3 linked regions of the Notamacropus eugenii genome follow. The protein of the gene in region 3 purifies or fractionates together with the protein of the main gene of each other region. This does not show direct contact. Links are inferred from orthologs where the notes say so. Each region holds a gene or a part of one and is shown on either strand. Other genes may lie near its edges.

Evidence for each region.
Region 1: the proteins of FASLG (region 3) and SNX33 purify together in Homo sapiens (co-immunoprecipitation; 3 studies listed by BioGRID and IntAct, counting the BioPlex papers as one, with this or other methods). This does not show direct contact. The link is inferred for Notamacropus eugenii from reciprocal best matches to the Homo sapiens genes FASLG and SNX33.
Region 2: the proteins of FASLG (region 3) and SNX9 purify together in Homo sapiens (co-immunoprecipitation; 3 studies listed by BioGRID and IntAct, with this or other methods). This does not show direct contact. The link is inferred for Notamacropus eugenii from reciprocal best matches to the Homo sapiens genes FASLG and SNX9.

Annotation. Positions count from the first base shown.
Region 1 is NC_092872.1:240,220,809-240,231,221, forward strand, and holds the start of SNX33 (sorting nexin-33), read right to left. Parts: upstream 4,956-10,413; 5' UTR 2,705-4,955; coding exon 1,261-2,704; intron 1-1,260. UniProt on the Homo sapiens protein: Plays a role in the reorganization of the cytoskeleton, endocytosis and cellular vesicle trafficking via its interactions with membranes, WASL, DNM1 and DNM2. Acts both during interphase and at the end of mitotic cell divisions.
Region 2 is NC_092873.1:251,468,520-251,479,255, reverse strand, and holds the start of SNX9 (sorting nexin-9), read right to left. Parts: upstream 4,704-10,736; 5' UTR 4,539-4,703; coding exon 4,456-4,538; intron 1-4,455. UniProt on the Homo sapiens protein: Involved in endocytosis and intracellular vesicle trafficking, both during interphase and at the end of mitosis. Required for efficient progress through mitosis and cytokinesis. Required for normal formation of the cleavage furrow at the end of mitosis.
Region 3 is NC_092873.1:473,684,194-473,694,194, forward strand, and holds the start of FASLG (tumor necrosis factor ligand superfamily member 6), read right to left. Parts: upstream 4,271-10,001; 5' UTR 1-4,270. Other genes in the region: SUCO (SUN domain-containing ossification factor), read right to left, coding at 6,040-6,483, 6,949-7,004, 9,097-9,188. UniProt on the Homo sapiens protein: Cytokine that binds to TNFRSF6/FAS, a receptor that transduces the apoptotic signal into cells. Involved in cytotoxic T-cell-mediated apoptosis, natural killer cell-mediated apoptosis and in T-cell development.

The sequences.
Region 1 (10,413 bases), on a different chromosome or scaffold from region 3:
CCTGGGAGAAGGAAGGTTTGAAAGGAAATGAAAGGAGGTAATTTAACCAGAAGAGTGAGGGGAAGAGTAAGGAAGGGAGGAGAGGCAGGGATCTTGGGGTAAGGAAGGGGAAAACCAGACCCAGAGAGCCCCTATCCCTTCCTGCGGAACCAGCCCAGCCCCTCCAGGCAGCCTTTGTGAGTTCCAGAGCTGATCTAGGGCCAGCTCCAGCCTGTGGGCACAGCCAGACCTCCCTGAGCCCTGTGCCTTCCTTCCTTTATTCCCTTAGTGACCCCTCTCAGTCCCAGGAAGAAGCAGCAGTCTCTCATCCTCTTGTGCTCAATGAAGTTCTTCCAATGGGGTCCTATCACCCCAAGATCATGGACTGGGAGGCACTGGGCAGAGATGGACCCATGCCAGAGATCCTGACAGTATGGCTGCCTGCTCAGGCAACAGTCAGTGACTCAGCCAGGGGGAGGAGGAAAAGGACAAGGTAGAGGTAAAGGGTCAAGAGAAGAAAGACAAGAGGAAAGGAGGAGGCTGGATGATCACAGGATACAAAGAGCTCCCAGGTGAGAGCCGGGACTCCTAGTCTCCTTCCCTGACTCACCCTGGGCTCCACAATGTAACCTGGAGTGAATCACTTCCTGTCTGTTCCTTGTCTACACCTTCACTTATTTCCTGGGAACAGACCCTGGTAAAAAGAATGGTTTGTTGTTGGTTGTTTATTTTTTTAAAGCATTTTGATGTAGCAGAATATCTGGGTTCAAATCCTACTCTGTTATTTAGTAGTTAGAGCAAGTCACTTAATGCTCTCTAGGCCTCAGTTTCCCTCATCCATAAAATGAGGATCAAATGATCTTTAAGTTTCCCTTTTAGTTCCAAAAATAGGCAGCCAGTGTTTCTAACCCCAGGGGTTCATTATGGACTGGCATCCCCATAGAAAATACAAAAGGGGCAGAAGGAGGGTAATGGAAAGAAGCCTGGGGGCGAGTTAGGAGCCTTGGGTCCTAGTCTTGGCTCTGCTCCTGACTAGTTGTATAACTTTTGTCATTTATCTCTCTAGACCTCAGTTTCCTTTTTTGTCAAATGGGGATAATGATCCTTTATCCCACAGGGGTGCTGCAAGAATGATATGAAGCTATCAAACAGAAGTCTTGAAAAGAAAAGAGTTTTGGCCAGCTGGAAGATGTGGGGCATTGTTATTAAAAAGGCAAAGGGGCTCCCCTGCCCTCCGTCCTTCCCTGAGCCCCTTGGGGCTAGCCCCAGCCTAGGTCTTACCTTTCTGCAGGTGGATGATGTCAGGAAAGTTGGAGAGCAAGCCCTGGTACAGGGAAAGGCGGTCTAGCATCTGGAAGAGGTCATTCCTGGGCTGCTCAGCAAACATCTCGCCCACAGTCTCGTAGGTCTTGCCCGTGTGGGAGATGGCATTGTTGAGGGCATCCGAGCTGTAGGGGGGGTCCAGCTGGAAGGAGTAGCTGATGGCCTGGAAGGCATTGCCCAGCTTCTGGAACTCCTTGCGGAAGCCACCGATGTGCTTGCGCACAAGCTCCGAGGCCACGTTGGTGAGCTGCAGCACACTGTCGTCCATCTTCTTGCTGAAGGCCTTGAAGGCATCCACTCGATCCTCCACATCCTGGAGGTCCTGGTGCTCAGTGGGGATCTGGAAAGTCAGGAGGAAGCTGGCCCCCACCATCTCATCCTTCTCCGCCCGCCGCTTGCCCATCTTCCACTGCTTGTCATCCAGGCAGCTCAGGAAGTGCTGGAAGCCCTCATACTGGGATAGCACAGGATGGCTAGTCATGTGATCCATCCAGAGGATCAGCCTGCGCTTGCGCTTCTCAATAAAGTCCTCTTCAAAACGGCCTGTGGCCTGCTTCTCAGGCAGGTGAGGCACCGAGATCACCGTGAACTTGTGTAGCAGCCGGTTGTAGAGCCAGTCAAAGTGCTTGTAGCGCCTATAGACGGGCGAGCCCACGTGGCTGGGTGTGAGTTTATAGGAGATGTAGCTTTTGATGCCCTTGAACTTGGTCTGTTTGGTGGGGTCTTCCACGGAACAAGCAAAGGGGTGGGGGCTGGCCTTCCACTGAGGACCTTTGGGACCCATTTCAATGTAGTAGGCCTCAGCAATCTTGGCCATCATGGGAACGTCACCCAGGATGAAGGCCTCCACGCCTGAGCGGACAAAGCAGGAGAAGCGGTTCAGATTGCGCCCAACCACACTACCCCGCTTGCCAGAGGCAGTGCTGTCCTGGCGCTCTAGGGGTGGCTTGGGCCGGAAACTAATATGTTGGTTGGGGTAGGCACCAGGATAGGACAAGTTGAGAGGGGGGTGCCCATTGGTACCCAGCCCAACACCCCGTGGTTCCTCCACCACGGTGCCCCCATCATCCCAATCATCCCAGTCTTCATCATCATCTTCAAAGCTGCCCTGGTGAGACATGACGCCCGTGTTGACCACAGGGGCAACGTAGAAAGAAGTCTCATTGCTGGGAGAGCTAGCTGGACTGTTTGAATAATCTGTATAGTTGGAGTCAGAACGACATCGGACGATCTCCACATAGGAGGCAGGGAAGAGTCCAGTCTCCCCCCGGCTGTTCTTCCCCTGCAGCCATCCATCCAAGGAGGTCTCACTGAAGACCACCAGCTCTTCATCTTGCTGGATGCTGATCTCCTCTTTGTTTTCACTCTGGAAGTCATAAAGTGCTCGGCCTTTCAATGCCATGGCTGGGGTTGGGTTTTTTGATAGGGAAGGAAAGTCTAAGGGAAAGGCAAAAGGGAAGAGGGTGCAGCTCAGACCCCAAGTAAACTTAAGTAGGGACAGGGCCTTCTGACATGCACATCCAGAAACACACACACACAGTCACCAAGGATCCACAAGCTTGTGCCTTTACTCTCAACACAGGCCAGAAGTTCGAGTGTGGCCCTTGCATTCCACACAGTTCTCACTCCCTTGGTGGAAAGTGACATAGCCCAGAGAGGGGATCAAACAGTCTGCTCCCATACGACTCTGGTTTGGTCCTAGGTGACAACACAGGCCAGAGAAGGAGGTCCTGCCAGGATACCATCACCTCTTAGGTACTCATCTCACAGTCTCCATCTGGCCTCCTGTTTTCCCACAGCCTGTTCTGGGCTGCAATTTTACATCTCTTTCCACCCTAAGCCTCCCAAAAGGGAAAAAAAAAATCACACCTAGATACCAGCACTGTAAAACAAGGGCCAAGAAGGCAAAGAATGTACTTTAAGTGAGAACAGTGCCCCAAGAAAAAAAATAGTTTAAAATGAAAAGTAACTAACAGTTAACTCCCTCCAAAAGCTACTCAATGGTTGGTTTTCTAGTGGGGAGTATCTTAAGCATTTTTTGCTTTCTTTCTTCCTTTCCTCGTCTTAGGAATTGGGCTTAAAAAAATTCCAAAAAGCCCAAGAGGGGTAAAAGGAAAACCTAACAAGGCTGAAATAAATCCAAGAGTGGACGCCTCCCTCCGGCTTCCCAACAAGATCCGGAGGAAAAAAAAACACAACAACAATCCAAGGCTTACACAAGACCTCGGGAAAATTCACGTGAACTTTCAGATCAAAACAGACCATGCAGCAAACCTGGATCCAGAGAAAAAGGAGGGTCTTGGGGAAGTTCCTTTGGGTCCCTGAACCCTTGGCTTGAACACTTGTCCTCCCTCTCCACACACCACTACCCCCACCAAAAAAAAAAACACCTCCTCCCTGCCTTCGGAGGGAGGCTGGGAGGAATCAAAAAGGTACTGGAGGAACCCCTCAGCTGGATTCTTTTGGAATCTTTTGTTTGCTTAATTCTTGGTCAGTTTCCACCCGCCTGAAACTGACTCGACGCAAAGAGCCAGGAACTTGGGAGCCAGACCAAAGTACTCAGAGGAAAGTCCCGGATAAAATCAATCATTAAAACACCAACCAACTCACCCACCACCAACAACAGTGGGCACAAGGACTCTCCGCCAAATCCGCTCGGAGGGGAACAAAACGCAAATTCCACACTCACAAACACGCAGACACACACAGAGTGGTATTTCTCAAAAAAAGGCAGAAGAGTTGGGAACGAGGTGTGATTCTGTCGGCTCCTCTCCGAGTCCCTGCTGGGCAGTGATCGGCAAACCTTTTCCCAGGAATGAGAGGCACCCCAACAATCCACTTTGCAACGACTACAAGAAGCTAGCTTTAAAAAAATGCAATTCCGGGTTCTTGTGTCCAGAGGGGGAGGGATGATTGGAGAGGAAGGGAGGGAGAGAAGGATGGATGAAGGGAGGGAGACTCGCAGGGAGGGCAGAGGAGAGAAAGCCGCCAGAGGAGTTCAGCAAAAACAGAGGCACTTCCGTTTGGACTGAGGGATGGCAAGGAGAGGGAGGGAGGCAGTCCCCGGCGCAGCGCCGGGGGAGCAGGGTGGCCCCAACTCAGCTGCCCACCTGCGCTCGCAACCCTCTGGGCGCGCGGCCGGCACTGGGGCTCCCTTCACTCCATCTTGTAGCCGCCCACCCGCAAACACCCCCAAGCACGCCCGCACTCTCTCCCTCGCCGAGGCCGAGGACTCGGGGACCCGCTCCGGGAAGGATACTAAGTGGTGGAGGGAGAAACAGGAGCTGGGGTTCGACGGTCTGGGAGTGGCGAAAAAGGGGCCGGAGCCCTGGCCCCGGTTGCCCCGCGGGAAGCCGATCCCTTCCTCGGCGCAACTTAGAGCAGCTGCAAACGCCTCGGGAGGGCAGCAGGCAGCTCGAGCCCCGGCGGGTCGGCGCTGCCGGCGTGGAGGAGGTGTCCGTCTGCCTGGGCTCCCTAGGCCGATATGCCCAGTCCGGTCTTCCCAGGCTCTCGCAGAGTAGTAGCCCACACACCCACACCGGTCCTGGGTCTGGGCCGGTAGGTCAGGGGAGTTCGCACGGCTTCTCGCCTCCTACTCTCCCGATCACCCTCCAACCTTTTCCATGACGCAAGAGGAGGAGAAACTCGGAAAGTTTGCTAAGCTCGGGAGCGAAGCGTCGGGAGCAGGCAAACCGAGGGCAGCCAAATCGGCCTCCCGGGCGCCCTCTAGAGGCAGCCTCAGAGGAGAGGGCCGTGGGGGTGGGAGTCGGGGTAGCCACTGCCTCCTGGCTTTCCAGAGGAGGGGATGGAGGACAGGGGAATGATGGCAGAGAGGAAAGAAACTGCATTATAGGTGTCTGTAATGGAATCAAAGTAAGCTGAAAAGGTCCCCAGTACCCAGCGAGTCCAACTTCTGTATTTTACAAATAAGGAAACCGAGACCCAAAGAGGTGAACAAAAAGCGGCAACAAGCATTTAAGTACTTGCTGAGTGCCTAGCACTATGTTATTCGCTGGCAAAGTGACTTGCCCAGAGTCCCACGGGTGGGATTTCGATGGCCTCTGAACCACGCTGCCAGCGTTTAGATCTGTCAGGCTATCTACTCCAACCCTTTCATTTTACAGTTGGAGGAATTAAGAAGCTTGATGACTTCATCACAACCACACAGGGAATGGTTAGGATTTCTATCCATGGCTTCTCAGTCCAAATCCAGTACTCCTTTTATGTCATATAAAGGCACAGACTTAGACCTGGAAGATGACCTCTAGGCCATCTCCCTCCCTTTAAATGAGTTGTCCAAGATAATAATCGTTAGTCAGGATTTGAACCCAAAAACTCCAACTCCAAGACTGGGGTCTCTGGCCACTGAACTATACTATACCACAAGGCCATAGATTTAAGAAGTCACCCACTCCAATCCTCCCTTTACAGATAAGAAAAATGTCTTAGTTACTTGACTAAGATTGCTCAGTTGGCAAGTATATAACTCCTCTCAGCCCAAATCCGGGCTTCTCTGTATCTATTTATGTCAGTCAACAAACGTTATTGCTCACCTACTATGTGCCAGGCCCTGTGCTAAGTCCTGGGGATACAAAGAAAGGCAAAAGACTGTCCCTGTTCTCAGGGATCTCACATGCAAACAACTATGTGCCAAAACAATAGTCAGGATAAATAAGAAATAATCAACAGAGGGAAGGCAAGGCGAAGGCCAGCCAGGCAAGGCTCTGTGCAGAAAGTGGGACTTGGGATGAGACCTCAAGGAAGCCAGGGACCCTGGAGAGCAGAGAGGAGGAGGGCTAGACTTCCAGACATTGGGAAGAGCCAGTGAGAATGCCTAGAGCCCAGAGAGGAAATGTAATGGCTGAGGAAATACCCAGAGGCCAGTGTCACAAAATATATGGAGTGGGGTAAGTATAAGAAGATTGGAGAGGTGGAGGAAGGACCAGGCTAGGAAAGGCTTTAAATGCCAGAGGATTTTCTATTTGATCTTGGAGATGTTTGGGAGCCACTGGAGTTTACTGAGTAAGGGTGGAGAGGAGGTGCCATGCTTGGAGCAGCCCTTCAGAATCGTAAACTTAGACCTGGAAGAGACCTTAGAAGCAATCTGGTCCAAACCCCTCATTTTATAGTTAAGGAAACTGAGACCCCATTGAGGTTGTGACATAATTGTGACAAGGTCACAATGTAGCAAGTGACAGGGGCACAATCTGAACTCAGGTCCTCTGACTTCAAATCCTGTGAACTTTCCATGTATTATTACATTAAATAAAAATAGTGACAACTCCTTCTTCCTCCAGAAATTGCTTTGTTCTTAGTAGACACTTAATAAAGATTTGCTTACAGATTGATTATCTGTGTACCTGTTATTTTCTTTCTGTGCAAAGTAAACTCCAGAATGTCTTGAATCCTCTACATGTTAAGCTGAATTATTTTTTGCCTTTCTATCCCCAGCCACCTAGCACAGCCAATTTCTTGGATGTAGCAGATGTTGAATGTTTGCTGAATTGATTTGTTAGGGTTATGGAAAAAACTTGGTATTTCAATCATGGTTCTGCAAGTTATTCAGTTTGGACTGGTGATGACCTATTAACCAATCAATCAACAAGCCTTTATTGACTATCATCTGTGTGTAGAGCTAGGTGAGAAACCCAGGAGGAGCAAATATCTCCCTTGCCTCAGGGAACCCTCAATCTGGTTTGGCAAAGGAGCTGCACAAAGGTAGTTCAAGTCTCCATTAGTTAGGACTATACTTGGATTTCAGAAAAGGTCAGGACAGTGGGAGGAAACTCCATAGGATGGTGGACCTGCTCGGGGCTTTGGAGCAAGGCCCAGGGCCAGATCTTGGCTCTGCTGCTTCTTAAAACTGGGTCGAGGACAAGTCATCTATCTAATCTTTCAGATGTTCAGTCTTCTGTAACATGAAGGATTAGGCTAGATCTGAGGACCAAAATGTTCCCTAAGGGCCCTTCCATCTGAAACACTTTGTGGGATGGGGAGGACACAATGTTCTTGGTCAACACAGCATGAAAGAAGACTGGAGGGAGTACCCTCAGGAGGCCCAGCCTCCAGCTCCTCAATGTTAGCTATAGATAGAAGGGTAGTCAGATAGAACGATGAAAAGATAAGGTGGGCACAGATTGGAGAAAGCCTTGGAGAACCTCTGCCACAAGAGTTTCAGTTTGGTGAGATAACACACACGGGGAGTCCCGGACAGCTACAGTTTTCATAGTTTGGAGCAAGTACATCATCAGTAAAATTCAACAGACATCTCTTGCTTCAGCCCAAAGGGGCATCAGTGTAGTGTTATGGAATCTTCCAAATCTGTCCCTTACTTAACATTCCCATAGCAACTTCACAGTAGATACCACCTGATAGTATCACCACCTGCCTGGACTGCATCCTCACAGGTCTCTCCCTCCCTCTCCACTCACCCAATTTGAATGCTTTTTTTTTTTTTGGAGGTAATCAGGGTTAAGTGACTCACACAGTAAGCCAAATTTGAACTCAGATCCTCCTGACTCCAGGGCCAGTGCTGTACCCACTGCACCACATAGCTACCCCGAATCCATTCTTTGTACATTTAGCAGATCAAACTGCCTTTGGTGTAGATCAGCTCACATCCTTCCCCACCCTAGGGACCTGCAGGAGCTCCTTGTTGCCAGACTCCATAGAAAGGCCTCCACAATTTGTCCCTTCCCCTTACTTTTCCTGCTTACTTCTTCCTGCTTCAGGAAGTAGTGTGGCCTGGTGGAGAATGCAGGATTTGAAAGGAAAGGGCCTAGGTTAAATTGCCATTCTGCCACTCACTACCAGTAAGACCTTGGAAAAATCATTTAAACCCTCGGGGCCTCAGTTTCCCCATCTATCAAATAAGAGCACCTTCCCAGCTCTACATCTGTGACCCTATTTGTGAGACCCTGGACATAGAATTTAAATTCTCAAGTTGTTTTTTGTTGTTGTTCAGTCATTTTTCAGTCATATCTGACTCTTCATGACCCCTTTTTGGTGTTTTCTTGGCAAAGATACTGGAGTGGTTTGCCATTTTACAGATGAGGAAACAGAGGCAAACAGGGTTAAGTGACGTGCCCAGGGTGACACAGCTAGTAAGTGTCTGAAGCCAAGTTTGAACTCACAAGGATAAGTCTTCCTGGCATGCTACCCATTGTGCCATGCTAGACATTGTGTCCCCTCAAGTTTTAGTTTCTTCATGCATAAAATGAGAGTTGGACTAGATACCCTACAAGATTACTACCAACTCCAAGTTATATGTAATCTTACATTACTTCTGACTGCCTATGGTACTGCCATCTTATCTGGAGCAGGTCTGGTCCCTATCAATGAAATAGTGACCATTTTCCCTCTATCTCCCATCTCCATGTGTTAAAATCCTACCTTTCCTTTAAGACTGCCTCAAATATCACTTGGTTCATGAAGATTTCCTCAATCCTTTCAGTCAATAATGACTTCAACCATAGCTTAACCTTTGAAAAGCAGTCAGTTCACATCTTTCTTACACAGTTGATGTTTTGTATTCTTGCTATCTTCCCTTGAGACCCAAAGCTCTGAGGGCAGGTTCTGTCTTCTCTAAACCTCGGATCTCCCCCACTAGCTGGTACCATGCTCTACACACATTATTTAATAAATATTTGAGTTGAAGTTGTAGGAGTCTGCATCGGCAGGTGAGACAATCAGTAACCCTTCCTCCACCAACATGGGCTTCCTCTGACTGCTTGTAGTTACTCACCTATACAAGAAGTACTTGAAAAATCAAGATGGTGTCCACCATGAATGCTAACAAGAAAGGGGAGGCCACCAGTTGATGTCATACTCAGGAATGGACATAAAATCATTTGCCCCTGTATGAGTTAGGTGTTTTTTTTTTATTGTTCAGTCGTTTCAGTTGTGTCTGACTTTGTGACACCATTATGGGGTTTTTTTGTAGGGCAAGGAATGGGTTGAATGAGCTCTACCTCCTCTCAAAATCTATCACCCACCAGCAGTTATCTTTTTAATTAAATTTTATTTTTTTCAATTAACAAGGATTTCTTGAATCTCTCCTGCCACCTTCACCTACTGAAATAAAAAAAGAAGGAAAAGAAAACCCCCCATATAACAAACATGAACAGTCATGTAAGACAAATTCCCATATTGGCTGTGTCCAAAAATGTGTGTCTTGTTCTGCATCTTGAGTCGATCACCATTCTGGCAGGAAGTGGGTAGCATTCTTCTTCATCATCCATCCTCAGGAATCATGATTATGTTGGTCAGAGTTCTCAAGTCTTTCAAAATTTTTCGGTTTTTTTACATTTCATTATTACATTTTTCTCCTGGTTCTCCATTATAAGAGTTAGAAAGTATGTGTTCAGTGTTGTACAAAGGGTTGTGGATTGGATGCCAGGAGACTTAGCTTCTCATGCTAACTCTGCATTCACTAGCAGTGGGATCTTTACTAACCTGAATTCCAATCAAATCCAAGAAGTATTTATTGTCTATAATGTGAAGGTACTGTGTTGGGCCTAGGGATACAGACACAAAGAAAAGTAGCCTCTGCCTGAGGGACATTCTACTCTATGGAGATACAACATATAAAGAGAGACATAGATACATGATTATCTGAGGAGAGGAGAACAAAGTGGCAAAGTGAAAGACCAGGAGAGGCTAGTAGGAGGTGTCCCATAAGCTAAGGCCTTCAGGGAAGCCAGAAATTCCTCTCTCTCTCTCTCTCCCTCCCCCTCCTCTTTCTCTTACTTTAAAAATAATATTTTTCTTTTAAAATTAATTCTTTCAATTAATTCTTTTAAATTAATTTTTAATTAAAAATGTAAACTCTTATTTTTAAGTTTTATTGATGCCTATGATTCCAGGGAGCCTTCTCTAGTACCAAAGAAAAAGTCAGGCTGACACAGTGGCCACATCTGGCAGCAGCTGCTACAGCCACACCCACCTCTACCACCTCTCCAGGTAAACGGGATAGATACATTGCCTCATCTCTATTCCTCAGCCAAGGCTGATCAGGGTTACACAGTGTTCAAGTTCATTCATATACTTTTCATTTCCATCCTGGTCATCATTGGGTGTATACTCTTTGCCTGGTTTTGCTTACTGAATCCA
Region 2 (10,736 bases), about 220 Mb from region 3:
TTTAACTTCTTCATATCTATTGTTTCTAACAAGGTAATAACATTCTAACATTCATATCCATAGCTTATGCAGCCATTCCTCAATTACTGGTAACAAAAGTTGCTTACAACTTCGAGTTTTTAGCTCTAGTGCTGTTATGAAAACATTTTAAACAAATAGGGCTTTTATTCCTGTTAATTATCCTCTTTGGCTTAGAGATGTCTGGACCAAAAGGTATACACAATTCCGTAACTTTTCTCCTATAAGTCTATATTGTTTTCCAAAATAGTGGACTAATTCACAGTCCTATCAGCAGTGAATTATCATGCCTTTCCTTAGCCCCTTTTCATTTTACACCATTTTGGCCAATCTATTGGGTATAATGATTTGTTTTAATTCATATTTCATTGTTTCACTTTGGGGTTTCACACTTGTTTTAATTTGCATATCTCTGATTGCTGGTCATTTTGAACACTTTTTAACAGTTACTGATAGTTTGTATTTCTTTTTTTAACTTGTGTAAATTTCCTATAGATTCTGAAGCTCAGATTTTTATGAGATATATTTAAAGAAGATTTCTCCCTGAATCTTTTCATCTTGCTCTCGCTGCAGTTTACTTGTGCAAAAGCATTTTATTTTTATATTATTAAGTCTATTTTGCCTTCTATGATTTCCTCTATATTATAACTGATTAAAAATTTTTTCCCTAGTTGTAGAAGGTATAATCTCCCATTTTCAAAAAGAATTTTTTAATCTAAGGAATTTAAATGCTTACCCTCCAACTCCATTAACTATATTACTGTGGAAGCATGCTGAAAAAAAGGGTAGAGGAGTTTCTATAGCAAAGGAAGAGTTTACAGTTAGCATGGCCAAATGTGCCTAGAGTCCTGGACCTGGGAGTTGGTAAGACTTTGGTTTAAATTCTGTCTCAGACTCCTGGCTATTATGTGAGAATGTCACTCTCCCATTCATCAAACTTCAATGGTTCCCTATTATCTCTAGTATCACATATAAAACCCTCTGTTTATTTAGTGTTCAAAGTTCTTCACAACCTGGAGCCTTCCGACCTTGCCAGTCTTAACACTTTACTAATCTCATTTACTCGGAGATCTAGTGATGCTGGCCTTTGTGTTCCTAGCCCAACACTCCCTTCTCTTGGCTTCAGGCATTTTCTCTGGCTGTCCCACATGCCTGGAATGCTCTCCCTCCTCACCATTGCCTTCCAGGTCCCCTCAGGTCCCAGCTATGATCCTACCTTCTACCAGAAACCCTTCTCTTATTTCAGGCTAGTGCCTACCCTCAGCTGAGCATCTCTGATTTATCCTGTCTCAATGCATGTGGTCTCCCTCATCAGACCTGCCCCTTCAGAGCAGGAGCCTTTCTCTATTTTTTGCCTTTCTCTGTGTCTATCCATAGAGCTTAGTATGGTGTGTGGCACAGCACTGGCACACAGTAGGTGCTTAATAAATGCTAACTGCCTGATTTGCTCTGGGCCAGCTGCTTACTCTCTCCTGAGCCTCAATTCCTCATCTGTAAAAAAGGGAGTTGAACTAAGTGATCCCTCAGGTCCCGTATTACTCTGCTCCAAATCCAGGATCCCATGGCCTCTTTCACTTGGAGCACACACCTCCATTCAGTCTGCACAGCTGTCAGATGCTTCTGTTACAATCACACTCACACTGAGAGATCTACCAGCAAGTGGTGGATAGTTCCAACGTATCTCCCAGCAACTTCCCCACAGCACTTGGTGGAGCGTCCACACTACGGACGACCGTGGTAAATAAGCCTCTCTGGCTGTGAGACAGATAATAACAATAATAGCAGCAGCAGTTGTTATTTAGATAACTTTTTGTACTCATCTGAACAGTCTGACAGCCCTAGGAGATAGGACTACATCCTAATAACAAGTCCTTCTACAGTGAACAACACTGAGCCCACCTTCCACTGCAAGTGCTTCAGGGGTAACAAGAGGATTCTACTGCAGTTTCCCCGAAGTGATGATGCCATCCAAACACCACAGGGGGAGCACAGGGAGAACCCAGAGTTAGGAAATCCAAGTTCAATTTCCACCTGAGACACTTACAATGGCAATGTGTGATAATGGGCAAGACACTTAATTCTGCAGAACCTCAGTTTCCTCATATGGAAAATGGGCCTAAATAAGACTTGTCCTGTAGGTCTGCCTGCCAGCACCTCTGTAAGCAAGAACTCTTTGCAAACCTTAAAGTACTTTATAAATATGAAAGATTATTATTGACATGAACAATTTAAAACATACAATTTTACTGAGCCAGGTTTACCCAGAATGTTGGCTTCTGTTTTGGAAGACATGAAGGGATTTGGAGATATACCCTTAATTCTTTCAGGCCATTAACATGAAGATACTAATTCAGTTAACAGAACTCTGGTGACCACAAAAAGTTACAACTTCTAAAAACTTCTACCAGTAACCTCTTCCAAGAAAATACTTCATGTTCTGGGATAAATCTGATATGAAACCAGAATCACAGATTTTAAAAGGAAGTCTATGGTCATCAAGTCCTAAAAAAATACATCCTTTACAACATACCCAACAAGTGGTCTCTCCAGCTACTACTGTCTGAAGATCTCCAATGAGGGAAAACCCACCACATTCTAAGGAAGTCCATTCTGCTGTAGGAAAGCTTTCATTGCCATGCAATTTTTCTTTGCATCAAGCCTAAAGGTGCCTTGTGAGTTTTTACCCTTTGTTCCTATTTTTTGCTCTTTGGAGCTAAGAGATGTATATCTCTCCTCCACAAAACAGTCCTTTAGATCCCTGAACATGCTTATCCCATGAGCCCTCAATCTTCTCTTTTCTAGGCTAAACATTCCCAGTTCCTTAATAAAGCATTATTTTTATGGGGAGGCAGCTAGATGGTGCAGGACCTGAAGTCAGAAAGATCTGAGCTCAAATACGGCTTCAGACACTGGCTGAGTGACCCTCTATGTCTGCCACAATTTCCTCCTCTATAAAATGGGGACAATAGCATCTACTTCCCAGCCTTGTGAGGATAAAATAATATTTGTAAATCACGTTGTAAACCCCAAAGCTCTATTTATATGGCATCATCTCGATATATGTAAAACTCTACATAAATGTTAATGATTCGGATGATGATGATGTCAAGACCATTTGTGGACAGCTTGGAACTGCTGAGAAGTCTGTCCTTCCAGGGTGAAACTGCTCAGCATGAGGCTGAAATCTGCTTTGGCCTGACCTCTAGAGCAAAGTGAAAGGACTCTAATCCCTCTTCTACATGAAGGGCTTTCAAAGCTTCAGTCACCTAAACTCTCCAAGCTAATTGTTCCCACGTCCTTTCAATAATCCTCATGAAGAGAGATTGTATAAAATGACCTCCAAGTCATCTGGGTCCTTGCCTGTCTCAACTTTACATGTGTCTACATTAATTTTCTGTAATTAGATCAGGTCTATTAGTTCATCCTAATGAGAACTTGTTGAATCCCAATTCTCCTCTGATGTGTTAGCTATATCCCAGCTGAATATCACCTGCAAATCTGATAAGCACACTTTCTATAGATGAAGGCAGGTGCTGGACTTGGGGTTTCACTGATAGAGAGAATAACCCAAATGAGGAAACTGTCTCTACCAAAGCAAGACTGACATCTTCTCTGTACTCCAAGAACCTTAGGGAGTTACCCAAAGCACAGAGATGTTAAGTGACCAACCAAGGGTCACACAGCCAATACTGTATCAGAGGCAGATCCTGAACATAGGCCTTTCCTACTTCTGGGGTGGGTTCTCTATCCACTGTGCAGGACTATCCTTATGGCTTCACCTGAATCACTGATAAATGCTGACCAGCACAGAGGCAGAATTGAGGATGTCAGGAAGAAACATATCTGCCTATTCCCTTCATACCTCCACAAAGTCAAGTTTCAAGAACTCATTACTAGAATATTCACTTGAATGCAATGAACAGTAAGGTGCCTATCACCATTAAACTCCATGGTTCCAGTTCTAGCACAAATAAAGCCACAGAAAGAGCACAGTATTCATCTGTGAATAGTATCTCTATGCTATCCCAAGATGCAGTATCTAAATACTTTTTTTTTAAAGGCCTATTCACTTAGCTGAATGAATATGGATAGGTTGTACTCAGCACCAACAGTTAATATCCACATCACTGAAGTGAAACATCAGTTTTCCAGGGTGATGGAACAGGCCAAAGTTGATGAAAAACATAGAGACCAGTCCATATCTTACTTGGGAAACTGCAACGCTTTCAACAATCTCAAACTTTTCACTGCTGTAAAAGACCACGGTTAATAAAATGTTCACTAAACAATACAATATGGCTTCAACTGTTAGATAGGACAGGAATTAAAATAGCAAATAAGGTAAAGAGCAAAAGACAGCTGTCCAGTATCCCTCCCTGAGCCCCTGCACTCAGATTGGGGAGAGCATTCTCCCTAACTAGCCTGCCCCTGACATACCTTGCTGCTGCTTTCAGACCTTCTTCATGCAATATCTCCTGTCCCTGCCCTGGTTCTCCAGCTCCCATCCTGGAACCCTGCATGCTGACTGGTGAGTACGCCTTCTCAGTGTCCCTTTCCCCACATCTCCTTTCACCTCTAGCTTTAGGAACAGTAATTAAATTAGTTGGAAAGGACAGACCAATCAATTGCCCTACGGATTTACTCCATATATTCTCAGCCCAAAATACCCTTCTCTGGCCACCATTCCCATAAAACAACTACAAGAAAGCATGTTCTCTTATTATGACGTAAGTATAAGAACATTCTCTTATTAGAATCTAAGCTTTTTGAAGGCAGGGACTCTTTTTTTATTTGTATGTACAGCATTTTTAGAACTGCCTGGAACAGTTAGCCCTAAATAAATGTTTTTACTTTCATTCACCTAATTATTCAATAGAACACATGGTAGGTAGTAGAAGATTGCAATATGGTCTAAAAGTCATTAATGAGGAAATGTATGACAAGATAAAAAAGTGGGGGAGAGATTACATAAAATGAGACAAATGACAGATCCTAAGGATAATGAATTTTTTGGATTTATAGCATAAGAAGACTTTCTTCTTATTCTATAAGTAAACCTTCAATGGAGGACTAATTATATGGACAAGGATTCATAAGGTATAGAATCACAAAGGGGTTGCAATCTGCCAAGGATTAAAAAATAAGGCTGACAGCTACAGGAAATTCTGGGTAATTGCTTTTATTTTCTATATTAAATATTCAGTGGTGTAGGAAAAAGGAATAAAAAGGATTCATTGATTCTCAAAATTCAAAGTCATGGTGTGATGCCATCTCTTATAAGTCTTAGAGAACATTCTGACACGGTTCTCATTGTTTCAGCATGCTATTCTGAGAATTATCAAGGATTTAGGAAGTTTAATCATACCCGGCTGCTTTCACAATGCACCATTCCATTCAGAAAAGCAGAATACTTATTTGTAATCTCTTTAAGGTTTTTTGATGTCTCAATAATCCAACAGTCTACACACATTTTACTTACTGAGGCTGTGTGTCTATGTACCAGGAGCAGTAATTACAAAAAAAAACCAGTCAAAACATTTGTTCTCGGTAGCCAGATGATAGTCAAATGCGGCTGTTTTTAGAGAAGGCCACAGTTTCTTTCACAGCACCCCTTGAACTCATGTGTTAAGTGCTTAAGTGAATTAAGACCTCAAATTTAATTTTTGTCAGTTAAAAAAACAACTTTACAGAGAAAAAAATTGGTGTAATTCAAAGGGAAAAAAAGTACTAGATCAGAAACAGAGGGCTGGAATCTCAGAGCAGCCAAAACACATGACTGAAAAAGAATTCCTTCTGGTCTTAACCCAGGGTCTGGGAAACTTTTTGAAAAATATTTTGATGACTATTTTAATGTAACTAGTTTCCTTGGTAACCCCCAATGTACTTCATTTTGTGTGGTTTTTAAACACACAAATAATAAACAAATAATGAACACACAAATAATAAACATGAGAAGGGATCAATGACACACTCGAAAGGTTAAGATACCCTAATATACAACATTCATGATGAGTGGTCAACCTAGCCTAGGGGAAACCCACTATATCATTCCTCTTATACCGTAAACCTGTGACATTAGTTACAGGACAGGGCAATATACTCTAGCTACTGTAAAAACGCTATCATGTGCTCCACTAATGGGTGAGTCAGAATTATCATTCTCTCTAGAGGACAGTGTATTATTATTACTTATGATAATTCTATAAGTAAGAAGAGGTAGGCATGTTACTCTTTGGTCAACCAAAGAATTTTGTACTAAGTGAACTCCTCAAATAGTTGTGGGATCCATAAGAAGTAATTAGGACCTAAGCATTTCCAAATAAGGTAATTTCTTCCCCTCCCCCAAATGGCCCAATGGTTACTGGCGGTTATTGTCCTATTGGAAAATGATTGTTTCTACCTGTATACATTGCTCATTGAGTTCCAAAAGCTACTTAATTATATCCCACTAGCAGCAAGCACAGCGGATGGAGTACTGGTTCTGGAGTCAGCGAGATCTGAGTTCAAATTGGACCTCTCACCAGCTGTGAGCCTGAGCAAGCTAATTAACCTCTGTTTCAGCTTCCTCATCTGTAAAATGGGGATAACAATAACACCTACCTCCCACGATTGACCAAATGATATAAAAATTGCAGAGTGCTTAGCACAGTGCCTAGAATATATAAATATTAGCTGTTATTATTATTTCTACTTCTAGTAAATTTAGGTAACTGACTTGCAAGTATGTTGTGGGACCAAATAGATTAGGGAGATTGGAATTCAGCTCATACTTTGCCACATACTTGCAGTCCTGCACCATCAGTGACCTTGAAATGAATTTGTATTTATTTTTTAAGAGTTCAAGAACCCTTCTACTTGGTTGTCATTCAACAATCTATAGCCGAACATCAAAAACAATAGTTTCTACATCAAGACTTTAAATGAATATTAAAGACAGATTTGACAGTCTTTTCCTTAACATCCTGAAACAGTGACTGCTTCATTTATCAGATTCATTTTTATTTTAAAACTTTTGAGCAAATCAAATGAGAATATAGACCAATCTCCAAGGAATAAAAAAAACTACTATATGTTACATAACACAATATATGTTATGTCATATAACCTAAGTATATAATTATGTCACTTGACCCTCACAGTAACCTTGTGACTTAGGTACTTTTTTTAAACACTCCCGTTTTACAGATAAAGAAACCAGGACAAAGAGAGGGTAAGTGATTTGCCCAGGATTCTACACCTATTACTTTAAGTGGGATCTACACCTGGATTTGTCTTCCCCAATTTAAATCCAGCATTTTCTCCATACATTTTCCCTAACCCCTCATCTCATTTCTGACTCTATTTTGGTTCTCTGTAGCTGTACAACAAGGCTAGTCACTTGAAACTCTCCCCTGGTGTTATGAAAATCAATAATCTAATGGAAACCCACACAAAATAAAAACAAAATACAGTCCTAAAGACTGCCAAAAGCATCTGTCTAGAGTCAAAAGACACAGAAAGATGGAAGTTTAAAATAAACACCCAAAACAGACCAAATCTCCAGGAAGTTTTTAATAATCTTTCCCCTATTTTCTCTTATCCAGACACAAATAATTCTGACACTAGCTACCTATCTTTGTTGCCTGAACACTGAACCTCCCATCATAAAGATTTCTGGGTTGGATCTTTGTATGTGACTATGGATATAGTCCAACTCAATTATGGAGATATAATTTTTCCAATCCACAAATGATGTGTCCTTTACACTGACTAACTTTGTCAAACATTGGCTATTTCATTTCTGACTAGCATTAATGCCCTGAACCTACAGGGGAAGGAAGAGAGGAAATTAAAATTAATCAGTTTCCTCTGATCAATGCAACAACCACATTTCCAGGGAACCAATGATGCAAGCTTCCCATCTCCTTCCAGAGATGTGATGGACTCTATTTGGAATAGGAGATACATTTTCAAACATGGTCAATATGGGAATTTGTTTTGCTTGATTACGCATACTTATTAAAAGGGTTTCATTTGTTTCATCTTTTTTTATGGGGGGGAATACAAAGGAAGGAAGGAAGAAGGCAGCTTCCAAAAAAGAAAAAGGAAAAAGGGCACTTCAACATTTTTTAAAAATTACACAGAAGAGACCATAAGCCTAGAAAAATAATTACAGAAAAGCAAAACAGCTTTGACAGTTACATACTAAATTTATATATTTTAAAAGAAAAACTAGCTGTACATAATGCTTATGGTTTTGTGCTATGGAAATGCTCATTTTACTTAGCATGCATTAAATTAAGAATAAAAAATAAAATTCTAAAATTAAAATAAATTTTAGGAATAGTTTATAGTGCTGAAACTTAAAGCAAATAAAATATAAAAAGCTATATTTTCTACAAAACCCAAACCCATTCAACTAGCATGGTGATTATGTGCTAATCTGTAACTAAAAATAAAATCCTTTTAAATGGCAATGTCCCCCAGTGAATGTATTATTATTTTATTTTTATATATCTTTTTCAGGAACATGGATCTATTGTGGAAAATGAGACAGACCTGTATTGATATTTACTGGGAGCACCTATTGATTCCAGCAGAAATTCTAGCCTACTAGAATATATTTGAAAACTTTTCTGGACTGTTTAGATCAAAAGAAGAAAAAAGGAAAACAAAACTAAAATGACTTGATATACTCTTTATTTTGAATTAGGGTTGTTGCAGTTAGGTGGTGCAGTGGATTCTGGGCCTTGGGAGTCAGGAAGACCTGGGTTAAAATCCAGCCTAGGACAAGCTGTGTGATCCTGGACATGTCACTTAAATCCTGTTATTCTCAGTTTTCTCTTCTGTACAATGAGGATTCTACCCCTATAAGGTAGCTGGCATGGAACAAATGAGATAACAAATGTAAAGGGCTTCAAAAAATTTAAAGCCTTACCAGGATCTGACACAGGGTGCTTAGTTAAATGCTTGTTGTAAGATAACTAATATGGAAAAGTTTTGCATGACTGCATGTGCATAACCTATAGCAAACGGCTTGCCTCCTAAATGAGGGAGGAGGAAAAGGAGAAGGATAATTTGGAACTCAAAAATTTTAAAAACTAAAGTTAAAATTTTTTTTACATGTAAACTGGAAAAAAATTAAAATATTTAAAAATAATAAAGGCTTGTTGTTGCAAAGCACTATATAAATGTTAGCTATTATTAATATCGTCTAGAAGAAATCTACTTAGAGATCAGCCTAGAGGCTTTCAAAATGGTCAGTAGAAAATTTCTAGATTACTGAAAATACTGTATGTAGTGTGAAAAAGAGTTAAACCTCTTTCATTTGAGAATACCCTTTGATTCTCAACATCCAACAAATTCATTTTTTGAGGCAAAAACATTGAGTGTTGTATGCACACCCTCCTAGGTGCATAGCAATGTGCCCTGCTGCATTCAAGTCACTTTGTAGACAATGCCAATGATCGGCAGAACCCAGGCTTCTGGACATCCAGTTTTCTGCTATTTCACTTCTAAACAATGTTATTACTTGAAATGTACTTGAAAAGCATCTTAGAAGTTCTCTTAATCTCCTAAAAAGCAGCTCATCTTGATTTTAAATAGTCTTGTAAATGCTCAAAAATTACAAGGGGTAGGGAGTAATACTGTTATAAAGGACTAAAACCTTTTTTTTTAAAGGCAGGGTTTTCTTGGAAGAGGTCCTTGGGTTTAACGATTTCAGATGACTCAGACTCATATGACACTGTTTGAATTCTGCAGGATCTCTTACTCCATTTACTATAAAATATTTACTCTCTGGTTTTAAAGTCTCAGAGACATGACTACCACTAACTCAATGACAAGTAAAGAACAAAGTGGATCTCACACATCAGCAAAATGGTCTTTAAAATCAATACTTCATGAAAGAATCTAGCATGTGCAGGGAGGGTCTAAAAACAAAAGGGAAAATCAGCCTCCAGTACTGATCCCAGTAAGCCCAGAAGAGGGGTGGATAGCCAAACAAACCACTAGAGAAGGAGGCCATTTCCCCAAGCTTGGTCCCTTCCTTTCCTACATTCCAATCTTCTCAAACCTCAATCATGCCCATTCTGGGGGTGGGAAGGGGAAGGGAAAATGCATTTACATAGCTCATACTATGTGCTGGGCACCATGCTAAGTGCTTTACTAATATATCATTTGATTCTCACAATAACCCCTGAAAAGCAGGTGCTACTATTATCACCATTTTACAGTTGAGGAAACTGAGGCACCAGGGATTAAGTGACTAGCTCAGGGTCACAGAGCTAGTAAGTATCTAGGGCTAGTTTAAACTCAGATCTTCCTGCTTTCAGGCCACTGTGTCATCAAGTGACAACATCCTCCTTGTGGTTCCTCATGACACCCCATCTCTTAACTGAGAATGTTTTCACTGGCTGTCCCCCACGTCTGGAACTCTCTCCCCAAGTCTCCAACTCTGAGCTTCTTTCAAGTTTCAGTTAAAGTCTCATCTTTGGCAAAAAGGTTTTCCCAATCCTTCTTAAATCTTAGTGCCTTCCCTCGGACATTATCTCCAACTTATCCTGTAGTTTGCTCACAACTGTTTGCTCCTTATCTCCCCCATAGGACTGGGGAATCCTTGAGGGCAAAGTCTGTTTTTTTGTCTTTCTCTTTGCTTGGCACATAGCAGGCACTTAATAGTTCACAGACTGCCCCTTCCAGATGAGGAGGAAGTAGACTAAGCTAGGAAAAAACTAAAC
Region 3 (10,001 bases):
GACATGACAGGCTAGATCATTAGGCTGAATCTAGTAAGATGCAATTTAACAGGGATAAATGTAGATAAACCAGAGTTCAAAAAACTCAACTTCACGAATACAAGATATCTCGTAGGGAGAGTTGGATGAAACTTTGAAAAAGTGCTGGTGCTTTTGGTGCATTCAAAGGGTCAGCATTTTGATATTGAAAGATCGTCACTGCTTCCTGGAATATGGAAGTGATTCTCCTTTTATCAGACATTTGGAGTGTTATGCTGTTCTGGGCAGGACACTGATAAACTTGGTAATGTCTAGAACAGTTTCTTGACCTGGGGTTTGTGAACTTAAAACACAAAACCTGTTAAATCTACTTCAATATGTAATTCCTTAATAATATTACATATTTTATTTATGCATTTAAAAAGATGCTGATATGAGGTCCATAGGCTGCACTGAACTACTAAAAGAGAAGACTAATGTGAACATAGTAACTGTGATTGAAGGGCCATCATGAGGAAGGATTTGTTCCCTTTGGCCCAAGAGGACCAAATAAGGATCAATGAATGGGTAGAAGTTGCAAAGGGAAAAAATTTAGGATGGCAAGAATATCTTCCTAACAATGAGAGAAGCTCAAAAAATGGAAGGGGCTATCTTGAGATGCTGAAGGTTTCCCCTCAAGAGAAATCTTTAAGCCAAAGATGAATGACCAAACCATGTAAATTGTAGTGGGGATTGGATGTGTTGATTGCTTAAGTCCTTTCCAACTTGGAAATTCTGATCTTTCAATAAAGGTCAAAATGAGCTAAGGCTGATAGATAACTAAGGTCAGCAAAAAGGGTTTGTTATTGTCATTCTCAGTCATAATAAGGAAAAACTGAGAATCAAAGAAGAGCCAAAGCATCTACTTGAACTGACTGGAAGGCACAGAACAAAAATGCTAATAGGAAGTTGAAATCAAAGCCAAGGGTGGAGAAAGAAAGAGATAATGTTGTTGCCCTTTATGAGTTCAAATCACCTATTCCAAATGACTAAGACTAAAAACTGATATCTAACTGTTGACTAGGGTCAGTGACACCTGCAAAATATGGCACAATAGGAGATGGGGCAAGGGCAAATGTCCAAATTGTTGAGAAAGGGAAGGAAATGGGAACCTGCATACTGTAGCCAAAGAACTTGACTTCTACATTTCTGACAAAACTCTGGAACGCACTGATAGTGAACATTTAGATAAGGATGACAAAAGGCCAGCATAGCTTCCTCAAGAAGGATTGTGCCAAACTTAGTTTATTTTTTAAAATAGATTTCTTGGAGTCTAGATTAATAAAGCAAGGTGCTGCTGTTGATAAGGTTTACCTAGATTTTAATAAAATATTTGAAAAAGTCTATCAAGCTATTTTTGTGGAGGAGGAGGAGAGGCGGGAGAAAATGGAAAGATGTGGTTTAATGAAGGTACAACTTGATGGATTAAGAACTGATTAAATGGCACAACCTAAAGAGTACTCACTAATAGTTTGATACTAACTTGGAAGATTTCCATTGGAGTGACTCTGGGATTTGTGCATAGTCCTCTGTTAAGGATAGAGGGTCATGCACACTTACATTTTTATCAATAACTTGGATAAAGGCATACAAGGGGTCTTTATTAAATGATACAAAGCTTAAAGTAAAAAAGCTTAGAGATACAAAAAACAAAGCTTAAAGTTTCACTAACACTGGATAATAAGTTAGGGTTCAAAAGAAAGTATACAAGCTAGAATACTGAGCTGAATATAGTAAATGAAATTTAATAGGAATATAAATGCAATGCCATATGTATATACATATATACATATATACATACATATGTATGTGTGTGTGTGTGTGTGTGTATGGAGAGAGAGAGAGGAAGAGGGAGAGAGAGAGAGAGGGAGGGGGAGAGAGAGAGAGAGGGAGGGGGAGAGAGAGAGAGAGAGAGAGAGAGAGGAAGAGGGAGAGAGAGAGAGAGGGAGGGGGAGGGAGAGAGGGAGGGGGAGGGAGAGAGAGAGAGAGAGAGAGAGAGAGAGAGAGAGAGAGAGAGAGAGAGAGAGAGAGTTCCTAGGAACAAGATTAGGGTGGGGGCCAAGGTGGATGGTCAGACAGCAAACTTGTTTGAAGATCTAAGTATTTCAGTGGACTGAACATTCAATAAGTCAACAGTGGAACATGGCAACCAAAAGGTAAAATTAAATTGCATCTAGAGAAAGGCATGGCTCTTCCTAGAATTAAGAGGTGAAAGTCCTACCATCTTCTGCCTTAATATAGAGTTCAGTTGTGCGTGTTGCATTTTAGTAAATATTGTGAAGCACCAGGGGAAGAAAAACAGTATAAGGGTTTTAAGTTTATGTCATATGAGAATCATGGATGGAACTGGAGATGTTTAACCTGAACTGTCAATGAGGAACAGAATAACTGTCTGAGATTAGACCTACTTTGTTTGGTCCTAAAGGGCAAGCTTCAAGGAGGCAAATATAGGTAAGAATTTCTTAAAAAAAAAAAATTCTTTTTAATTTGAAAATTAATGTTTACATTAAAAAGTTATCCAAAAGTGAAAAAGGCATTCTGGGGAAAAAGTGGGTTCTCCCTCATGGGAGGTCTTCAAACAAAAGCTAAATGGGCACTTATCCAGTATCGTTTGGAGGGATTTTTGGTAGATATCTTGATAGAGAAAGGACAGACAGTTGATGATATGTCTTTCAACTCTGAGGTCCTATTCTTTCCTGCCTCATTCTCCTTAAATAATAACCCTAAACAAGTAAGTATGAGTGATAGTTGTTTTTCTTCTCTCAGTAAATTTCCCTGTAGCCAAGCAGAAGTCATCAAACCCCTCAAGCCCTCCTCCTACTGACTTTAGATATATTTTCAAAGTTCTGTAGAAGGAGCTTAGTGTTTGGTATTGATGGTGGCTGTTTCTCCCACTAATTTTGTTTAAAGCAGGGGTGGGCAGGTGACCACAGTAGCAGAATCTTTAAGTTTCTCTTTTTTCAGTTACGCTTCAAGGCCTTAAGAAAGAACAATTCTTCTGTTTTATGTAAATGCTGTAAAACATTGACTCCTCAAAGGCTATCCCCCATTAATGGTTAATGGATCATGCTATCTAAGAAGTATTATGAATGTATATATCGATGTACGAATATACTCACACTTTCCTACTGGAAGAGAATGTAGTATAAGATTACTGAGAATTTATTTCTTTAGAATTCCTATAATGTCCTGGTTCTTGAATTCTCCATCTCCTTAATCTATTGAGAACTGCAAGTATAGTTGCTTTATATAGTGTAAGAAAAAAAAAATAGAAGAAACAGTACATGCTGTTTAATCATTCTGTAATCCTCAAATACCATAGGGATTACTTGACACTTTATTGAACAATATCAGAGTACTTTAGGAAATTATAAAAAACTACCAGGTTGTTCGCATGAACCTTTAAAAAGGTGCAACTCCCAAAGACTTGCTATTACAAGTAAAAACCCAGCATCCTTAAATGTGCATGTGCCTCGCTGTGGCAAGAAACGAACCTGCAATTAAATAACATTGTCAGTATTTGGTATTTAGTTTGGTATTCAGCTCCAGTCCCAAGGTGCACTTACCTGTAAATGACCTGATTGTGTCACTAGGGAAACATAAAGTCACCAAAATTATTAGGGCCATTAGCGCTGACTTGTTAAAACTGTACAGCTAAATCTTTACAACTAATTCAACCACATAGACTTTCAAAAAGCAAAATAGTGATTTATCATTAGTGACTTCTGAGAGTCTAACAGAATTATAAATTCAGAACTAGAAGAGTCCTCAGAAGACATTCATCAAAGTCAATTTCATTTTATAAAGGAACTGAAGTTCAGGGAGGCTGTGACCTGTTGAAGGTCACATGGCGATGGAAGCTAGATGTGAAGTAAGGACCTCTGACTCTGTTTGAGCCAGTGCTCTTTCCAGTTCCCCATAGGGCTTTCTAGTAGATTGATAACACTGACTTTTACTAGTCCTATGAGCAGTGAAATACCAAGCATAGAAAGAGGAAAACTTGAGTGTGTTGATTTATAACTCAAATAATATACTACTGGAATTTCTTCTGTTGTTCTCACATTTTAAATGTTTGGTAACAAGTAATATCTTTCAACTCACGTAACCAAAAATTTAACATAACAGAAAAAAAGCATATCTAAGAATTAAATAAAGTTATTGTCTCCTTAAATATGTAGAGTTTAAAATGTCCCTAGAGAAGCCAGTATAGAAAGAAGAACTACATAAGGATCAAAGAAAATCAGAAAGTTAGCTTAATAATAGAAAACCTGAAATTATTAAGTCAAATTAGTACCAAGCATTTATATACAATCCATATAAATAGTTAGTAGAATGAATGTTGGGAGTGTTTAACTTAAAAAAAAAATTAAAGACATTAAATTAATAAAGACAAGTGTTCAGATTTATTTGGAAATTCACAGTTTCTAATGGCACTACAGCTCTGTAGTTACATAAATCTTCTTTCCACAATGTTGAATGCTGCACTCAGATGATATTTTCCCATCCTTACCTCATTCTAATTTGGACCTCAATTCACTGTAATTATTATAAAACTCAGGCCCTCTTGCTGTGAATGGCTAAATGTACAGACTGACCAACAAAAATTACATCTCTCAGAACGTACTGGTAAACTAACATGAAAGCAGCAAAAAAAAATTTAAAGGCCTTAAATAAGTCACATTACATACAATACCCAGAAAAGGCATCAGATCTGTTTTAAAAAAGGATACTACTAAAAGTGCTTAATAAGTTAAAACAGCCTTACAAGGAACGTGATGCTGTTAGACCTCTCAACACAAAAAAGAAAAAGAAAATGCTTTCTCCAACTTCACTCACCATTGCACATTCACACCCCCTATGGAATAAGTGTAATCCAAGTATACAACTGCTGCCAAAATTAAAAAAGAAAAGTACAAAAACAGACAAAAAACACACACATCCAAACATCCCACCCTGCACATTTGTAGCCAATACTAAAGCAAACACATTATGGAATAATTCATTCAATCTTGACCATTCAGACAAGGATCGGCAAACTCCCTGGCATGCCTGTTTACATTTGGACTCTGCAAAGATAATATCATTTTACGCTATTCCTGGTCACAAGTTGCTTTTTTTTCCTTTGCCAAATCAATTTCACCAAATTTTGCATGTTTCAAAGGATTTGTGTTCATTGTGAACAGTCAGAATTCAAATGTAGCCAATGAGTACCCATAATGGTAGTTAAATATCCTTAAGGTAAATCTATAAAGAATTAGTTTGGGAATAATGGTCATCTGCAAAGTCCTAGGTGGTCCACTTTAAGCTTATATCATTCAGTTTCCAAGGATAAAGGAATTCATTCTAAATCAAGTAAATGAAGACACCATTAACAGCATCACGACCCCCCTCAGAGAACAGGCTTTCTGGCCCTGCAAGTCTTTCATATTCCTTGGTGAGTTTGCTACACAGAGATCTTCCAGGCAGATCTCATCTGGTCTTCACTGCTCAAACACACATGTACAAGCTGAGCTTCAGGCACAGGCCCCTTGTAGAGCAATGTAGTGTATACAGCTTCACAAGAGCTTACGTTACCAAAGAAATCAGAGGACAGAAACAAGTTTCTCTTTCTCTCTCATCTTCCAGTGGCGTTATAAATAGACACAAGGCACATCAATATGGGAAGGTGCAAGAAACAGGAACAAAGCTGAAGGAAGAGCATTAGGCTTTCATTCCTATTCTAGCCAAGGAACTGGGTTTCCAAATTACCTTTGCCCCAGTAATTAACCTGTGAAAAAAACATCTTTATAAAATGCCTCCCGTTGTCCAGGTAGGAAGTGATTAGCCTTGTAAAACTGCAGCTCGTTAACCAAGATTGACACAATCCCATCTACTTAAAAAGGCAGAAATCATCATTTCTGAATCCTTTTCCCGTAAGTTTTTAATGCCTCCCTAACCCGCCCCCCCACCCCAGCCCCTTCAAATACCACAGACTTCTTCAGAGAACAACAAAAGTCTCCAGTATGAAAAATTCTGCTAGTTTTAAATGTGTCCCGATACTGCTGTGACACCAAATGTTCCCACTGTGATCTCCTTGTTTCCTTTGATGAGGTCGTGCAGGCTCGGCATTGAACCTGACTTAGTCTGAATGAGTGTTTTTATCAACTTTCCTTGGTCTTGAACTCTAGATCGCCTTCGTTTTAAAGCCCTCTTTTCAGTTTTTGTTTTTTGGGTCTGTCCATTACACAAACTTGTGCAAGCTGAAATGCCACAGAAATAGGATTCTTCTGACTGTGAGGAGGTCTCTGAGCTTCCTTCAGATGGAGGACCCTTGTAAGAAGAGTGATAAACCTCTCCCATATTAGAGAAATCTCTCTGGTTCGTAAAGGGTTTCCTTCCTTTAATGTCTCCATTGGCTATAGGATGCGATGTGTCAGCTGGCTTAACAGTCTCAATTTTTTCAGTTTTATATTTGCAGCGTTTCTTCTACAACACATACACACAAAAGAAAACTGGCATTAGAATTTCAAAAATTAGGTAGTTGTTTATCTGGAAGAACTGAATCACTGTGGGATAAGTGCCATCTTCTGGTGCCTGGCACACAGTAGGCACTTAATAAATGTTTAATGATTTGAAAAGCAAGAATGCATATAAACTGTTAACCATGTATAACTTTGTATAACTTTGTATAACACTAATCTTTTAAAAATAACAGATTTTAAACAAGTTGCTATCTCTGGCTAAATAACTGTCATTAATAATGATTGGGTAACCACACTAATAACATTAATTCTCATAGTCTATCATCTATAAAACAAGATTCCATTTCACATTTTTGTGAGGGGATGGGTAGTATTGAACTGGCTTATTTTTATATCTAAGACCATACGAATCTATTTCTTATCTCCCAACTCATAATACACTAAATGTATTCCATAAATGCAAAATTACCTTTTTTTCTGGTGAGAACTTCAGTGGTTCTACGATGTATAAATCATCTGGGTCTACTACAAGGAGAAAAAGAGCAGATATAAAAATGAGAGCTAACAAAGATGCAATTAGTCACTAATCTTGCACAACAATTGTAGGAAGGTTTTTAGCCTTGACCTAGTAAGATCTTTAGCAATCTAATTCACTGCTTGTGCTCATAACAGTTTAAAAAAAAATTATTTGTAATAACATAAAATTGTTAACACACACACACAAACACATGCATGCACACAAAAGAGCTAAAGAAAAACTTCAAATAAGGCTTCCAATTCAGTCGATTTCGAAATCTGTGGCTCAATGCGCACCCGTACTATGACACCAGGAAGCACTTAGGTTTCCTCAGAGTCAGAGACACTGCTCATTAGCTGTGACCTGGCAAGTTTCCTTAGAAAAGTTTATCATTTAGGAATCCCCTCCAACATCCCTGTCAGGCTATCTAGTCCCTGCTTGACAGTAACAACAATAATTACCATAAAACTAATGCTAATACTTCAAAGTTTACAAAGTGCTTTATAAATATTATTTCATCTTAACTTCACAACAACTCTTGGAAGCAGGAGCTAATATTATCTCTATGGTACCGATAAGGAAACTGAGGCAAATCGAAGTGATCTGTCTAGGCCGGGTCTCACAGGCAAGATTCAAACTCAGATCTTGACTCCAATCCCAACTCTTTATACCTTATGCCACCTCCCTACCCTGCTTAAATATTTCTGAGATAGAAGTCATTATTGCAAGATGGGCCCATACCATTATAATCTCCATCCAATGGTTCCAGAATAATGTAAACTTTTTAGAAAGTTTATCATTCCCATTTCAACCACATCATGTCTAAAAAGCAGACACAACTTTTGCTGTAAACATAATCTTTCAATTTATAAGTATTATCATTTGCCACAGATGTCACTATAAAGGTGAATAAATATCATTTTTTTCCACTTGCTTCTGGAATTATGGCAAAAAAGGTCAATTTCTAAGTTCAGGTGGGCAAGCAGGAAGGCTTTCACATCCTTAAGGTACCTAATGTGACCCTCAGAAAAAAAGCCTAAAATACACAAAACAAGGGATTATCCCATAACTTAATTATATATCCTGTTATATGTGTTTAAATACAAATAGAAAAGTAAAATTCTACCCTATGACTGACTTTTGCCCTGTTGTTTCTCAGTCTGAAGAATGCCCAGTAGACTCTCCTGACTTACTGAAATCCCTTTTGACTCTTTGTTCTGGAAGCTGAAGGAAAAAAAAAACAGCTGGTCTACTTATTTTAAAAAGTAGGCATTTGCTAAATTAGTACTTAAGCCTTATTAAAAACAACCACAAATATTAAACAGAGAAGATACAGCATAAAAGTCCATCCTCATATATTTTCCCCCAAAAGAAATTATATTTTAAGGTCTGGCAAGTATTGATTTAGTTTAATAATTACCTAGGCTATGCGCACATACGAGGAGGACTGATTTATAACATGACTATAATCAATTAATATTTTTATATAACCTTGAGAAGGACAGGAAAAGAAGCAATAAAAAGGTACAGAACTCGTCCAGATTTATATCACAGATAATAGACTTTTGGATTGGAAGGGACCAATAAGATGCTGACCAATAAATTTACAGATGAGGAAAAAGAAGTTTCAGTAGGTTAAATAGGTTGGCCAACATCACCTGACTAGTTAAATGGAAGCCACAATTAGAACCTAAGAACCTCGGCTCCTGGCTAGGTACACTTTGTTCTTTATACTCTTTATAAGTAACTGGAAAAAATAAAATACTATTTGAATTGGGGGGGAAAAAAGAAAATGACATTTATTGAAATTTTAAACCTGCCTATCTACAAAAGAAGTATGTGTTAGAAGCTGCTAAAAGATGACATCTGCTGGTGAGCCAGTAAACTCCTGACTCAATCTCTGGATTTACAGGACAAAGTCAGAGAAGATAATTAAGCTATGAAATATGATGTGACAGTGATACATCATAATTAGAAACTAATTTTATGTCTAATGATCTTTCTGCTTTAGAAATAGTAGATTCTTAAACATATCAGTAATATATATAAAACTATTTTTTCACACACACACACACACACACACACACACACACAGCCTACCTTCTCTGCCAGTTAACTGAAGAGATTTAGATCTGATAAGGGGAAATGAGGTTCTTCTTTTTAAATTCAGATCATCATAGGAGGAGAAACACCTAAAAAAGTTAAGAATCATCAGCATGTACAAAGAAATCAGAAAATCACAAATAACTCTGAAATATTTGGGCTAGATAGTGGCTAATTAGAATCCTACAAAAATTTCATGAGGTCAATGCCACAGGAACAGTGTACATTTAAAGTTTTTTAAAACCACATCTGAATATCCTTTCCGTGACTAAATCTTTTAAAATTAACCAACCAAAAAATTTCAAGTACCTACTATGTGCCCAGCACCATCTTAGGTAGTGGGGGTCGAAGTACAAAGAATGAAATCATCTCTTTTTTCAATTAGCTTATATTATCTAAAAAGGGAGATAAGTACACATAAAATATAAACACATAAATATAGTTATATCTCCACGCACACACGCACAGCAAGTTTGGGAGGCAGAACATTAGCAGGTGGAGAGAATTCAGAAAAGACCTTATGCAGAAGAGAGCCTGGAGAGACTGATGTGCACTGGTGTTAAGTGGGTAGTACCAGGAGAACATTATACGCAGCAGCTGCAGTATGTGAGGACTGCTTCTGACAGCCTGGGCCTTCACAGCAAGGCAAGGACCTAAAACATTCCCAAAGGACTCGAGGCAAAATGCAGAATGAAGCAGACTGTTTTCTCTTTCGTGATGTTAGGGTTTGTTTAGTTTTACTCATGCTTTCTCCCATTCATTTTAATTTTTCTATGCAACATGACTAATGTGAAAATGTGTTTAATAGAATGTATGTGTATAGCCCTTATAATATTGCGTGCCTTCTTGGGGAGGGAGGTGGTAGGAAGGGGAAGAAAAATGTAAGACTTATGGAAGTGACT